Linked DNA regions of Mytilus edulis. Each later gene encodes a partner of the first gene's protein in a complex. Links are inferred from orthologs where the notes say so. Each region holds a gene or a part of one and is shown in the gene's direction. Other genes may lie near its edges.

What was found.
Region 2: trafficking protein particle complex subunit 9-like (region 1) and trafficking protein particle complex subunit 12-like share a complex: the UniProt entries of both Homo sapiens proteins name them as parts of the multisubunit TRAPP (transport protein particle) complex. The link is inferred for Mytilus edulis from reciprocal best matches to the Homo sapiens genes TRAPPC9 and TRAPPC12.

The regions. Positions count from the first base shown.
Region 1 is NC_092355.1:34,285,114-34,293,384, forward strand, and holds the start of trafficking protein particle complex subunit 9-like, read left to right. Parts: upstream 1-4,983; 5' UTR 4,984-5,101; exon of another isoform or gene 5,102-5,118; intron 5,119-8,271. Other genes in the region: uncharacterized protein, read right to left, coding at 857-1,484, 2,278-2,389. UniProt on the Homo sapiens protein: Functions as an activator of NF-kappa-B through increased phosphorylation of the IKK complex. May function in neuronal cells differentiation. May play a role in vesicular transport from endoplasmic reticulum to Golgi.
Region 2 is NC_092344.1:109,874,037-109,882,107, reverse strand, and holds the start of trafficking protein particle complex subunit 12-like, read left to right. Parts: upstream 1-4,287; 5' UTR 4,288-4,380; intron 4,381-6,541; 5' UTR 6,542-6,552; coding exon 6,553-6,760; intron 6,761-7,840; coding exon 7,841-8,071. Other genes in the region: EARP and GARP complex-interacting protein 1-like, read right to left, coding at 187-323, 688-787, 1,193-1,337, 2,032-2,164, 2,740-2,823, 4,046-4,087. UniProt on the Homo sapiens protein: Component of the TRAPP complex, which is involved in endoplasmic reticulum to Golgi apparatus trafficking at a very early stage.

The DNA.
Region 1 (8,271 bases):
ATATTTACGTAAACAAATATTTAATTGATAAGATTAAAATCCTTGATGAAAAATAAATAATAATTAAGCATACATATATCATGTATATATATATATTAAAAAAATATTACTAAAAAAACAAGTTATATTGTTTCTCTTTTGTAAGTTCACATATCCCAATAAATGCACAATCTAAATTTGAATTATAATTATGAAAAATTGTAAGAATATAAAAAAATCTGTGTATATATCCATTGTTTTAACTTTATATAATAAATATATATGTATCCTCTTTTTCGGTTCTTTTCAGCATGTTCAGTCCTTTTCGGTTCTTTTTGGTCCTTTTCTGTCCTTTTCGGTTCTTTTCTGTAAATCGTCGCTCTTTTCTGTAAATTGTTGGACCAGAGTTTTTGTCATCAGTTATACATATATATTATGTATATATATATATATATATGTATAACTGATGACAAAAACTCTGGTCCAACAATTATGTATAACTGATGACAAAAACTCCGGTCCAACAATTTACAGAAAAGAGCGACGATTTACATGCACATGATGCATATATATATATATATTTAATATATATATATATATATAAAAAATATATATATGCATCATGTGTATGTTATATTGATACTATTTAATAAAGTTGTTTTCTTCTGAAATGATTTTTTTTCTGTACCATTTTTCCCCACATTGTTCAACTAATCATGCTAATGGAAACAATGAACATGATAAACTGTCCATTTGTAAAAGAACTCAAGACTTGGGTGAGTAAATTATCAAAAAGCTCAACAATAAACTGTAAATACTAAATTATAAGTGGCAAAAGTGACTTTAAGCTTCTAAATATATATTGCAAAAGACTTACACTTCTGATTCATTTTTTGACAAAACATATATGATATGAGGCTGAGATTCCATTTCTGATCCTTCACCTTGCATGGATATGAGTTTTTCAAGGTCAACCTCAGTAACAGAATCTGTTGGTATGGTGATGACCTGTCCAAGGTCATCTTCATTTTTAACTGCATATTCAAAATGTCCAGAGCCATTCGTAGTTGCATATTCTGTTGGCATGGTGATGACCTGTTGATGTTCACTTTCAGTTAAAGAGGTATATTCTGTTGGTATGGTGATGACATGCCCTTCATTCCCATCCATATATTGCAACATATCCATAGGAATTGTTATGACTTGTGTACCAATGTCATCAATGTCTGCAGGCAAAATAACCTTATGTTTAAGGTCATTGTCTGTTATTGCCATGGCAACAGTATTTTCATTGCCATCAATTGTGTTTTCTGTTGGCAAAGCGATCACATGTTCTTTAATATCTCCATCTGTTGTTGCTATGACAACAGCATCTTCAGGAATAGAATTAACATCTACATCAGACATAATGGAAATGTTTGACTGTTCACAAGACTTTACAGGTAAAATATTATGCTGTGTTTCTCCAGAAATTAAATAAGTTACATGTGTTTCCCGACCTATTCCTACAAAAAAAGACAGTCATCAGTTTTGTTCAAATTGATTATCATTATTAACTCGTCCTAGATACCAAGATTGAAATTTTTCACGCCAGAAGCATGTTCATCTCAGCAATGCTCTAAAAAAAGAAATTTAAAAATGCAGATATTTAGTAACAAGTTATAAAAGCATTGAAAGCCCAAATTTATTTATTGTCAAGATAAACTGTGTAAGTTAGTCATTATATTCAGCTGCTCTATGTCAATGATGGCTGCATTTTTGAACGAGAAAATCTAACAGGGACATGGGAGAGGGAGTGAATTATTTGAGTTATTGTAAACATGGTAAGAGTTAAAATTTCAAAAGATTTCAATTTTATGAATGTATAAACGTTTACAAAATTATGTTGTCATTGTTTATCATCTGTCTCTCAGTGTGTATAGCAAGAAAATATATGCAAATTAAGGTGGTACCTAACACTACAGGGAGATAACTCTATAAAGTCAGCTTAACGTTTTAATTACGTTGTGTTGTAAAGGGAATATTAAGCTTCTCAATGATCAAAATTGGTGTATGTCAAACTGCTATATAACCAGTGTAATTTTTCTGACAAAACGGTTGGTTCAAAATCTTTGAAATTTTTATATTTTTGTTAAAGGGTCAAAGTAAATACATTTGTACTTTGACAAAATTTTATGAAAATTAAACATGTCAAATCAATTTTAGTGAAAGTGTTGGGTACCACCTTAAGAAAAAGGAATGTGTTTGAGGACTCGTCCTACTAACACAATAAAAAGTAACCATGGTAACTATCTTTACCAGAATGGAGATTTTCTGTTGTGGAATTACTATCGTCACCATTAATACTGTTCATAATATTTGAGCTGTCCATAGTGAAATTAACTATTAAATGATTCTCATTTCCATCCATTCTAAAAAATAAATTAGAAACATTATACAATCATGACAATAGCTACAAAAATAAGGATAGAAATATGGCGTTATGTCATAAATTTGCTTCATTAGAGTGCAATTTGTGATTTAAAAGTTATCAGTAATGTCTAGATGTCCAATACATGTAATATTTAAACAAATTAATTGATTGTGCCACAAAACTTTCCAAGTCAGAAGCCTGTTATTCAGTGGTTGTTGTTTGTTACCATACATGTTTATCATATATATATTTATTTTTGTTTGAAGTTTTTTTGGTTTTGTACGTAAATCAGGCTTTTGTTGTTTTTCTCATTTCAATTGTTTTCCGTTTTGTTATGTCATGTATGTGAAATTTAAAAAAAAAGATGTGATATATTGCCAATGAGACAACTCTACGCAAGAGACCAGATGACACAGAAATTAACAACTACATGTATAGGTCACCTTTTGAAACCTGCAAATTAGTATGGGTTTGACTTATCATTAATGACTATATATTCACTGACCTACAGTACATGTACATGTGTACCTTATATCTACTCATTTGTTTTCTGGTCATGCTGCCAGGTGGATAGAGGTCTCATTGGCAATCATACGAGGATTCATACATCTCCTTAGTCTATGTTTTGAAAACTTTCAGGTTTAAATTTCAAAATACTGTAATGTCGATGTTGATTGTCTTTGTTTATTCAACATGTTTTAAAAACAAGCTTGGACGCTTAAGACATAGTAGGAAGGTGTCACAGCAAGAAAGACAAACAGCTGAAGGACGCTTCCGGGTGCGGGAATTTCTCGCTGCATTGAAGACCTGTTGGTGACTTTCTGCTGTTGTCTGTTCTATGGTCGGGTTGTTGTCTCTTTGACACATTCCCCTTTTCCATTCTGAATTTATTTGAAGGCGTCATAGCAAGGTGGGTTGTAATAAAGGAACCTTGATGAAGAAGGGTACCTTTGCAATTCATGAAAAATATCGGTAAAAAATCTTACCAAAGGATGTTAACCATGTCAACGGTAATATTTAGTGCATTTTGCTAAAATATACATTTTCTACTTGACATGCTTGATAACAAAAATCAACTGATTTTGACAAATCACAATCAAATAATTATTTGAGACCTCTGACCTGGGATCAGTATATCTAAGGGAAATGATTCTGATCATGCATAAAGGCTTTTCAGTATAAAATTAATAAAGTACCGAGCTACATGAAACTTTACTAGATTAATAGATTTTTGAAGCATCACACTGCAAAAGCATTGAGATTGCTCAATAAATTATCCATATTAAAACAAACTCAACAAATATAAATTTTATTCTAATCATTCTAATGTAGGTATATTTTGTCATACATGTATAAAATTACCAATATACATGTGATTTCTTTGATGTAAAGTGCCATCAGCGCCATTTTATTATTACCCTTTTTGCATTTTGTACTCTTCTGTGATGAAATTAATGTGAATTATGACAATTTTGATGTGACAGAATGCAATTTAGGTGCACTGGCATTTAATGAAATCAGTAGTAATTAGTCAATGCGAGAACATATTTTACAGATGTCGGTTTCTGTATGGTGTTATTGATTAACTATGACTTGTTAATGAAATCGGCTAATATTAGGTAACTACATGTAGTGTCAAGTCTCTTCAATATACAATGTATATGTTCCTGCTCCGACAAATAGCGATATAATGGATATTTTGATATATCACTTTATTTATTTTTTTACCAATTTGACACTAGCGTAAGATGAGAATGACTGTTTAACTCTGACATCAATAAAATTGAGAATGGAAATGGGGAATGTGTCAAAGAGACAACAACCCGACCAAATAAAAAACAACAGCAGAGGGTCACCAACAGGTCTTCAATGTAGTGAGAAATTCCGGCACCCGGAGGCGTCCTTCAGCTGGCCCCTAAACAAATATATACTAGTCCAGTGATAATGAACGCCATACTAATTTCCAAATTGTACACAAGATTGTACACAAATTGTACACATTTCAAGAATGTATCACAGCAAAAAATTAAATTGGCCTTTTTTATTTTAGTTAAATTTCGGGGTACTTGGGTAAGGTTGTTTTATACCTACAGGAACCGTAGCTCTCATGTCCTTATATTTTTTTTTCTCTATTTGTGGACTATCCGCAAAATAAAAAAAGATATATAGAAAGGACCATAAAACTATTAAAAGATACGGTTCCGCAGCTAGATGGTTTTACTGACACATTTAGGTTTTAAGGTATGAAGGTTTAAAAATCGCTTTATGTACAAATAAGTTTTAGGACTGTTGCTGGTGTTTTGTAGTGGTAAGTATATTTAGAGTCATTGTCATATTGATTAGATAAAGGGGTACATGATCTCAGGTGCTCCGGAAGGGTAGGAAAATCGTGCTCCTAATTTGGCACACGTACGACTGATCTATCTGGGTAAAACATTTCAAGAAAATTCATTTCCTGAAAACAACTTTGGTGGGAATAAATGTTTTTTTTTAGTCATTGTGAATGTGAGCAAAATGCATATATGGCCATACTTTGTATCAGAGAAAAAATAAACAGAGAAAATTGTCACCGGAAGTACTGTCAAAATAGTAAACCCCGGACACGTTACGGAAAATGGCTGTCTCACGAGAGGAGGCGAGACTTTGAGTTTGATCCTGATATTTTGCAGAAATGAAACGTAGCTGACGACAATTCTTAATATGTTCCATGTATGTCAGTTGATAAAGTAATGATGACTCACTTAGTTGAGTTTTGAACTTGTAGAATAATCAGATAAAACCCCTGTTCGTCTGACAAAATCAGACATATCAAATGAGACATTTGTCAAATTTTATAGGTGGAAATCAAACAAATTTAAGTTATTATTAATTTCACTTTGATGTATATATAGATCTGCTTAACAACCTTTATACCTATACCTGCGCTATATCTTTATGAATATACCTGCTCCATGATCCTTCTGATTATACCTGCTCCGTGTATTTATGAACATACCTGCCCCGTATCTTTATGAAATGCATATGGGTCTCATTGGGGTCTAAGCGTGACACGGTATTGCCGATATTTTGTAAGCATGACTCGCGAAAGTCAAATTATTGTGTGTGAAAACTGGAAATGAAGTTTAGCGGGACAAGGGAAATTGCAAAAAAAATGAGAATTGCTTACGTACATAGTGTAAGTGGGATACAGGAATCTGACAAAACAGTAAGTGGGATCCGGGATCAGAACCCCCCAATGAGACCCCCCTATGAATATACCATGTGAACCTGCTCTGTATTTTTCTGTTTACTCTTTGCCTATGTATATAACTGTTCTGTATCTTTATAAACATACCTGCTCCAGTCCATATCTTTATGATTATAACTGCTCCATATCTTTATGCAGATACCTGCTATGTATCTATGAATAAACCTGCTCCATATCTTTATGAATGAACCTGCTCTGTATCTTTATGAATACTCATATACCTATACCTATGTATGTAACTGCTCAGTATCTTTATTAATATACCTGTTCCGTTTCATTATCATGCATATATCTGCTGACCTCAGATGTGGTACCTTTCATAAATCTACAAGTTTAACGCAGGTCTGTGTAAATACAAGTTGTTCTTTGAGTAATTAACTTTTCAAAACACTAGTTTATATAGCAAATGTATAGCATGTATAGATAGGGGATTAATAAAGGAATCCAAAGAGCAAAAAAAATACATAGGTCACCGTGCTTGTTTTCAAAATATAAGCCATTGAAATTTTGGCGGGAAAATATTCTCTCTTGACTTTTCATAGCTTTATCATTGACAAGTTGAAGTTCTCAAAAATTGTTAAAAAGTAATTAAAATTTTATAAGAATTTAACAGATGGCTTATCATTATCAATGATTATACATGTAAAAGATTTACAAAAAGAAAAATGGGGGTCACCTGGCAAATTTTTTCAAGGCATTCAAATGGATAAAACCAGAGGATTCTGAAAATCTGACAAAAAATCTAAAACATGACAAGCCAGCTTCCTTAATATTGATAGGATGCAATCCTTTATTCTGTTTTCCATTAAGATCATACCTGCCAACTGTCACTATTTGCATTGGATTTCTCCGATGAAAGCTCCCAAATAGATATTTTAAAAGAGCAATTTTGTCCAAAATTTTAAACAAAACAGTTAATTTTACAATGCTTTAAAAAGTATGAATAAGCCAAAAAACAACAATAAGATACATGTACATTTGAAGATCCCCTTGAAGTTTTTTTAAGACGGTAAGAGCCATCTTGCACGTAAAACACCCATGAACATTTTGAAAAGTTGGCAGGTACATAAAATTGAGAATGGAAATGGGGTATATTCATAAAGATACATGTATGTATACATGATGTAAGATCTTTCCTTTAACAAACGAATTCAGAGGGGATTTTGGGGTAAACATATATATATTGTATTGCGCAAGGAGAAAATTGTTAAAGATAATTTATAAAATGAGGACCTGTCTGTACGTATTAGCCTATGGATCAGTTTTGAAAAAGAGGTGAATGTGCAAAGGGGAGGTGGCACACATATTTTGAGTTACAAAAATGAGTTAGTTGTTCAGAGGTGATACCACTCTGATGCATTCTCAGTGATATCATGGATAGAGGTCAGACTCTTTTCCAACAGATCAGGCCAAATAAAAATATATGTGTGGTTCCAGTGACCCTACCCTCCCTACTTTTTCGTCTTGAAATTAGCCTACATGTACCCGAAAGATTTTATTGTCATTTTTCATTAAGCACTGTTAAAGTCAGAATGATGCTTCCATAGACTCAATGTAAAAAAAAACACCATAAAATAAAAATAATCCCTACCTACCTACATGACCTACCCTAACTTTTTTTCAGATGTAACTGGAACCACACATACTATTTTATTTGGCCTCATCATTTAAAATTATGAAATTTGGTATGATTGCCATGAATAAAACATGTAAAACATTACCATCCTCCAGTGTTCAAATGATTTATATGTTAATAATAATAGGTCACTGTTTGACAACATGATCAAGCTATAAAGAGGAACAGAGATGACAAAATTTTGAAAAATCAAGTTATGAAAACAACTGCCTGATTTGTGGTAAAAATACTAAATTAAAGAAAACACATTAAATATATATAAATAACAGTTCTTAGGATATAAAACTCCAAATTCAAATTAAGACATAAATTGACCAATCAAATAACTTAAGAATTTCAGTGGTCATGCACAAAAATTATTATACATGTCAAGTTATCTAAGGACAGAAGAAAGATACAATGTAAGGGGAGATAATTCCGACTTTTTAATGTAAGAAAAATAGGCAAATATTATTAGAAATATAACCCCTGACCATGCTGACTGTATGGTATAGAACAATTATTGATTCAAAAGGGACTATCAATTTACCAAGAAATGGCTAAATTTTTTTTAAATTCCTTGTTTATAATTATTACAAATTGTGCTAGTTTATCTCGGTCAATTTATCATCAACATGATTTACATGATTTGTGTGCATGGTCTAAAGTATAATCATGATTCAATGTGTAAAAGCAGTATGAGAAAAAATTGTAGTATCCAATCCCTGCCTCATCAAAAACAAGCTATGGCAATCATGCCAATGTATGGCATGAACTAAGTAAATTGAACTATAGTTTAAAAAAATGGATGTTAGGCCACATCAATTTGATTCCTTGTTCGACGGACCCGCCCGCACCTATTTTTTTCAAAACAGAATTTTTTTATTTTTTTTATATTCCCGCTTCCCGCATCCGGAAATGTAATCATGTCTATTTCCCTCACCGTTTTTTTTGTAAATATTATAAAAAGATATCAACATTGGTTTCTTTCCCCCTTACTTATATTCCCTATCAAAA
Region 2 (8,071 bases), on another chromosome or scaffold:
TCTTTTGTTCTAGTCACCCCTGTTCGTGTGTTGTTGCCACATTTACTATTAGTCAAATGCCTATGTCATTTGTGTGTATTATTATGCCTATGTCATTTGTGGGTATTATTATGCCTATGTCATTTGTGTGTATCATTATGGTTTTAGAAAAGACTTTGTGAGTCATTTATAGCGGTAAAGACTTACTGCATAGTCCTAATGTCCCATCCTCGTATGTGTGTGTCATTTGCAGTGGCTATCTGTGTACAATTATGATGAGGATTCCATTGACCACAGGTGAATTTGGAGTTACCTTTACTATCTAATCCTGTGGAAGCTGTCATCTGTTAACAGATTTTGAATGCAATACTTACACATTTTCAGGGTATGAAAAAATATTGTTCATTTTATACAATTAAATCATACTTGCTTTTTTTTGCAAAGTTTAGATCACTAAAAAATGTAATTTATTAACTGTAAAATTGGAAATTCCAAAGACTTTACAAGTAGCAAGACAAAGGGAGGTAATTCTGATCCTGGTGTGATTTTGCATAAGAAAAATAAATATCAGTTGCAAGACAAAATATAGAAATATTAGATTATGCTGTTAATGTATGATGTCAGATGATAACACAGTTTAGTTTTTGTTTAAAAAAAAGTTCTGACAGATTATTTTACCACAATTGAAAGAAGGGTTGAAATAAGTACCTTTGCAGTGCTTGAAGATGTGTCAATATCCCACAATACTATATGGTTATCTGCAAAGCCTATCACAGCTGAAGTATCTCCGGTTGGGTGCCATAAAACACTGTAAAAAGTAGGATATTGTTGATTTCATGTAAGTAAATACCAGCTCAGATATAACATTTGAAAAAGAGGCTGATGATTCTTTTACATTTCACAAGCAATTTAAATGTATATATTCAGGACAAGAAAATGTTAAAGTGATTTGAATGTTTACTCTGCTTTTTTGGAACTTTGTGAGGCCTTTTTTTTGTGTTATTATTTAAACGTGAGGAATACAAAATGTGCATTTGATATTCCAATCCTGGTATCTATATATGATGAGTTTATTGAGCTAGACAGACACACACAATCTGTGAGTTTGAACATGAATATTATTTATAATGCTTTTTTTCTAACTTTTCTGTGACTGGTTTAATACATTCATGATTTACCTCTGATTAAAACATGCACAAAATTATAAACAGACCTTTTCATGTCACCATATTCTGAGTTATTCAGGTGACAGACCAATCGCACAGCTGGATGTGCTGACTGGTCATCTGCTTGACCACTATCAAAATCAGATGGTAGTCTCCAAATAGCTGCCTTCATTTCTGTCTTTGATTCTGATGCTGCAGATAAAAACATATTAATGTATTATGAATATAAACACTGCTTGATACTAAAATGACATACAGAACTTTTAAATTTAATTTTCAACATACTAGTTCACAAGTCTGTAAAAGGATGTGTTATCCTACGTAGACATATTCTGACTCTGAGCAAACCAGTATTTGCTCTTACTGCTAACTGCTGTGTACTTATCAGACAAGCAGCAAATATGAATTTTCAAGCCTTTGATTTGCTGTGACTTGGGATTGAACTGAGGACCTTCCACACTCAAAGCAAGAATTCTACTACTTAGTACTCACTGAGGTGTTTATACCATTGAATGATGATGTACAGGTATAATCATCATCTTAGTTATTGTTTACTAATATTTCAAATACAATTTAGTTAACTCTTTATTTATCTGTAATTTTATAAAGAAACAGATGACTAGGTTGTCCTTGATGGTGATTTTGTATTTTTTTAATTTTAGTTTCTATGCGATACATGTATACCAGTCATGTCCAAGATCTGAAATAAGAGGCAGGATGGTAAAAAAAAAATCTAATCAACTTACTTTTTTATTATATACAGTCATTTTATTTTATTTTGATGACTTCAGGGATTAAGGTTCTTTGTCAATTTGATTAGATGCTTGTTATGTGCCCCTTTAATACGGTTTACCCATTCCAAATATTTAGCTTAACTTAAATTTACTTTTATTGTAACATGTTGTCATTAAGTCTTTATCAATGGTTGAGGCCTTAATATTCCAGATCTCTCCTTCAGGATGTAGGTAAATGTTTTTGTTAATGATGTTGTTTTCATCATCAAAATCAATGTGATGAATCTGGAAAATAAAATAACATCAGAATCATTTTTTTCCTGATGGGATATCATTCAAAACTCAATTAGACTTCACACATGTATCAGGTTATACTGAAAATTAGGTTTTCCAGTGAGGTTATGCATAATTATAAAACTGACAGAATCTTTAGGTATCATATCTGTTGTTATACAGACATGTAGAATAGAAGTCTCATTTTTAAAGGCCTTATGGTTGCCTATACATTCTATAATTGCTGATATCCACTTCATTTGAACTTTGGTGGATAGTTGTCTCATTGGCAATCATACCACATCTCCTTATTTTTATAGTGTTATTAAGTTTTAACTGATTAGCACAGATTTTATAACCTCAAGTGTACCAGAACCCATCAGGCATCTCATCATATTTGACCAAGTAAGCAATAGAAAATGAAACAAAGACATAGGATAGAACAAAGGTAGTGAAAAATAATCATGCTTATCAAAATTATTTCTTTGCCCAATTCAGTATATTAAGGTTTCAATAATAATACAATGTGTCAAGATATTTAAATAATGATTCATGTTTAATGAAGAATTTTGTTCCTGCTGATTTACCTGATTTTCTACTCGTAAAGACTGAGTTCCAACAAGAAACCTGATCTTATCAGTTTCTCCTGTTTGTGCAGTTAATGCTTTGGCCTGTTGAATGATAAAAAAAATATCATTCTATTAATAACTTAAATTTATAGAAGAGTTATACAAATAATAATTGTGTCACTGCGACTGCATGCACTATTTCTTTATGTTTAATATTGTTATTAAGCTTTTACATGTTAAACATGTACTCATATCATATTTCATGTGTCATGTTCATCATTTGTACTGATTATCATATTACATTGACGAATGACAACTCCAAATCAAGCACACCTTATTACTAACATGCTCTCTACTTCCCGCTAAAAAAATACTGTCTTACCTGTAAAATCTTCTTACACCTGTGCTCTAACTCTGAATTCAGGCATTGAAACCTGCTGATGGCCTTTGCTAATAGCAATATATATTTACAAGTTGTTTTCTATTTCTTAGATTTGTGGTTTGGATCTAAAGTTTTTGTTTTTAACTTTTTTTGTATTCTTTGAATACCATTTGTTTAATGTTATATTTATACTATTTGTAACTATCATTGCATATATAAATTTTTTGTGGGCACTTGCATGTATGAACTTATATACACCTTATCGCTATTTGTCCGCCATTACTGGATATCACACAGGTTCCTGTAAAATTATGACGTCATAAAACAAAATGGCTGATGCCACAATTAAAAAGTGATTGTTGTATGCGTCAAAAGTTCAAGCGGCCAGGTCAGCCGGGATTAGCGATAAGGTGTATTGTCCTATCCATATGCAAACTAGAATGTGTCCATAGAACATGTACAGTGGACCATGAAATCGGGGTCAAATCTCTTATTTTAACATTTTCGTCCCCATTCACAGGTTATGCCTGCCTCATATTATGAAAAAATAAAGGATGGCAGGTAGATGAAACTTACATAAATGAATCATGGATTAGAAATGAAAAAAATTCTTGAGACCCGATTTATATAGACTCAAGGACGTCAGTCGGCTCCAGGTGCAAAGAAGCAGTGCATCCATTTTGGACGGGCAACTATCCAATTTATATTTGGGACTAGTCAAAATATTTATAACGTCTTGGAAGGCTTTTTTGCTTTGAAAGAAAAAAATATAATAGCCTTGCAAGATGTCATATTCATATAATTTATTATTTGGACTAATTTGGGACGAGTTCTAAAGCGATTGATGCCTTACAAAACCAATTAGTATGAGAAGCTGACATTATGGTTATCTTCCAGGAAAAGCATTTTTTAACAGTTTTTATCAAATATAACGGAGATAACCTGAAATTCTAGCCCATAAATAACCGGCGATTCGTCGTCCATATCTGTGTGTCTGGTCCCTAAAATTATTTCTGTCGGACAGGGGATGGGGGGAAACGGAAACCAGTAGCCTAAGTCAATTTTCGGCAGTCGTAAAAAGTAAAACATAAAATTATTTAATTATTATTTTAAAACAAATAACTGTAGCTAATGCCAGACAAAATGTATTTGATGGCAATGTAATCTGTTTCAATACTCTTTTTTATTCCATTCATGAAATTATTTTTTATGACATTCTACACATAATTTGATGACGTATACACAGCACAGTGTCCGTTCGTCGAAAAAATTAGCAGGTTGATTTCAATTTACCCTTTTCTTTTATATATACTGTTTGCCCCTAACGTCTATGACAGAATGTCCTGTATGCTTATCCTTTCATACCCCATTAACATTGGAGTCTGAAATTATATAATGACAAATAGTAAGAATGGAAAATGGTGAATGTCAAAGCGACAACCTGACAACCCGACCATAGAGGGGTCTCATTTGGGCTGTCTGATCCCAGATCCCGCTTACTGTTTTGTCAGATTCCCGTATCCTGCTTATACTATGTACCTAAGCGATTCTCATTTTTTTGTTAATTTCCCGTATCCCGCTAGACCTTAATTCTAGTTTTCATGGCACAATAATTGACTTTCCCCTGTGACGTCACGTTTACAAAAAAATCGGCAATTCCACGTCACGCTTAGACCCCAATGAGACCCACCATAGAGCAGACAACAGCCGAAGGCCACCAATGGGTCTTCAATGTAGCGAGAAACTCCCGCACCCGTAAGCGTCTTTCAGCTGGCCCCTTAAAAAAATATGTATACTAGTACAGTGATAATGGACGTCATACTAAACTCCAATTATACACAAGAAACTAAGATTAAAAATCATACAAGATTAACAAAGGCCAGAGGCTCCTGACTTGGGACAGGTGCAAAATTGCAGCGGTGTTAAACATGTTTATGAGATCTCAACCCTCCCCTATACCTCTAGCCAATGTAGAAAAGTAAAAGCATAACAATACACACATTAAAATTCAGTTCAAGAGAAGTCTGAGTCGGATGTCAGAAGATGTAACAAAAGAAAATAAATAAAATGACAATAATACATAAATAACAACAAACTATTAGCAGTATCATACTATCATGAAATATATGAGAAGAACATAACCCGTGTCATGCCAACAACTGTTTTTTAAAAATAAATGTGTTTACTTTAGTTCCGATGCAAAGACCCTATAAGTAAATCAATATTAAGGATGTACTTAGGTGAGGTTTTGGATTTTTGTCAAATGTTCAGACTCCTTGGTGTTTTTCCATACAATACAATGTAAAATATTTTGCCCCATAACACCCATTTATTTTTTCATATAAGACTTAATAGCTCATGAAAGGTCATTTACCAACATTTTAGAAGATTCTTAATTTTCTTTCTTTTGTTTTGAGACCCAAATAATACCAATGCAAATATAAGGTAAAAGTCTGAGTCAGCCTTTTCCCGCCATATTTTAAATCTCAAATATCTCGAAACATCTTGTCGATATCGTCTGAAGACTCCTTATTGATTTTTTTGTCATTTAATAATTATCTTTACTCATTTTTGCCTAATAAGTTAAAAATGATAATAGAAAGATGGAAATTTATTCATAAAGCAAACTTGATGAGCAAAACAAGATCTACAAGAAGGTTTTTAGCAAGGAAATCATCTGGCGACTCTTTAAGAAATTGCCCATTAATAACAATTTTACATTTTTTGTTGAGTTTTTCCTTAAAGGGGCACTAGCTACGAGATTGATAAAAAATCAAATGTATTATATCTTATGCTCAATCATTAATGGAATGTAATTTGTATATTGTATAATATAAAATTAAATAGATCTAGAATAATCCGAATAGCAGGAGTTTGCTTAATTTATTTATATCTATATTTATGTTTACATTGCTTATATGGTCATCGGGACGGATGACTTTAGGGGTCAACTCGACAATTAATTAGATGGCGTTTAGACTAAAATACACACGAAATGAAGCTACATATTTTCATGCGGTGCCCTGTTAATTGTTTATTTTAGACTTTTGATATTTTGTATAAATGTTTTACATTGTTATAAATTAAACATGAGAATTTGATTAAAATCGGTGAACATGAATTTGACAGCTAGTGCCCCTTTAATGTTGAAATGGTAAGTGAACTCTTATTTAGAGTTTTGTGCTTTAATGACGATATTTATCAATATTTATCAATTTATCAATTTATTTTTACACATTTTGTATTGCAGCGGTACAATTTCTTAAGATATTTTAACTATTTAGTTCTAATCTGTCAGTGAGCTCATTAACATTACAAAAGTTTAAATTGTTTAGCTGAACATCTACATTTTTTGTAAATTCTACATTATTGATCATGACACACACATTTGAATAATATATTACATGTAATTATTTAAACACAAAACATTCATTTCAGTAAAGTAGATAATGGCTGATGATAATGTTGAAGAATTTTTAGAAGATGAATCTTTATCAGAAAAAGAATTCCACCTCCAGAATCCTGATGTAGTTATAAGGGGGACAACTCTTAGACACTCTGCTACAACAGATACTTTAGATTCTGTTTATCTAGAACCAACAGCAGTTGAGGAAGATGTTCAAGATATTATTACGGCCATACCAGATTTAGTTAAAGGTTATATTGAATAGTAATTTTAAAATGAGTTGAGATTTAATACTAGAAAAAAATAGAAAAAATATTTGAATAAGCTCTCGCCGCGATATAGCCTTTTTGTGCTAATGCAGCGTATAGCAAAGAACAATCAATCAATCAATACTAGAAAAAGAGTCTTAAAAGACAACTTGACTACAAGTTAACTACAAGATTTAACTTCCAATTCGCATTATATATTGTACATGTTGTGAACTTTAAATAATGAAATAAACATTTATCTTACCAAGACAAGTATTTGACAAACTTGTTAAATTTACATGAACCTGAAAAGTGTCCTCATTTCATGTCACTTTAAAACAAAATGACTATTAAACAAAGTAACATTATGCATACATGTACATGTATGTTAACTTAATTTTAACCTTTCACAGCCTTGAATTGTATTCAAATCTTGTGGAAATATACAGTTGATTCATCTTAATACATTGTTACAAGGTAAGGCACATTTTCTATGGATTGGTGAATATGAATTGATGAAGACTATCAGGTTCTGTCTTTAATGTTTTATTTTACTGTTATTTTCTTTGTTTTCAAAGATACATTTTTGGTACATGCATTTTTTGATAATATATACATGTACCCTGTTGGAACATTTTTAGAAGATTTTGAACATTAAAAGTGGATATATTTATCCCAGTCTCTGTCATTCAATAAAACAATCAAATTTCCTTACAGCATGAACATTATTGCAATATTGTTTATTTTTTCAAACTGAATTTTAATGATGTGTTTTATATGGGAAAAGTGCCAAATTAGTTTGAAAACATTTATTTGAAAATGGCTAGGTACAAACTGTAGGTGATAAATGCCTCTTATAATAAGATTAGCAATTCCTCAGCCTTTTACATGAATTATTGTACAATGTAGACTATTTTGATATACAATATATGTGTTCATGTCTGAAGTTGCCAGGGCATATAGTGTAACCCATGTTTGTACATCTGCCATTTTATTATTGCAACATTCTAAGATCAAACAGTAGTCTGGACTCTTTTTGTTTTCCTGCTGAATAATTTCTTATATATTTTCTACCTTATACAGAATCTACAGACAGTGATTCTGCCTCTGGTATTCTGGAAGAAACAATAGAGACTGTGATTGATGTGGGAAAAAAGGTGATAGATCAAATACCTGATGTGGGAAAGAAAGTGATAGATCAAATTCCTGGTCTAGTAAAGGAACTAAAAAACACAAATGAGGCTCAAGGCCAAATGAATATAAGTAGTTATTTTGCTGATCAAAACTCACTTGACGACCCTTTCAATAGCTCAG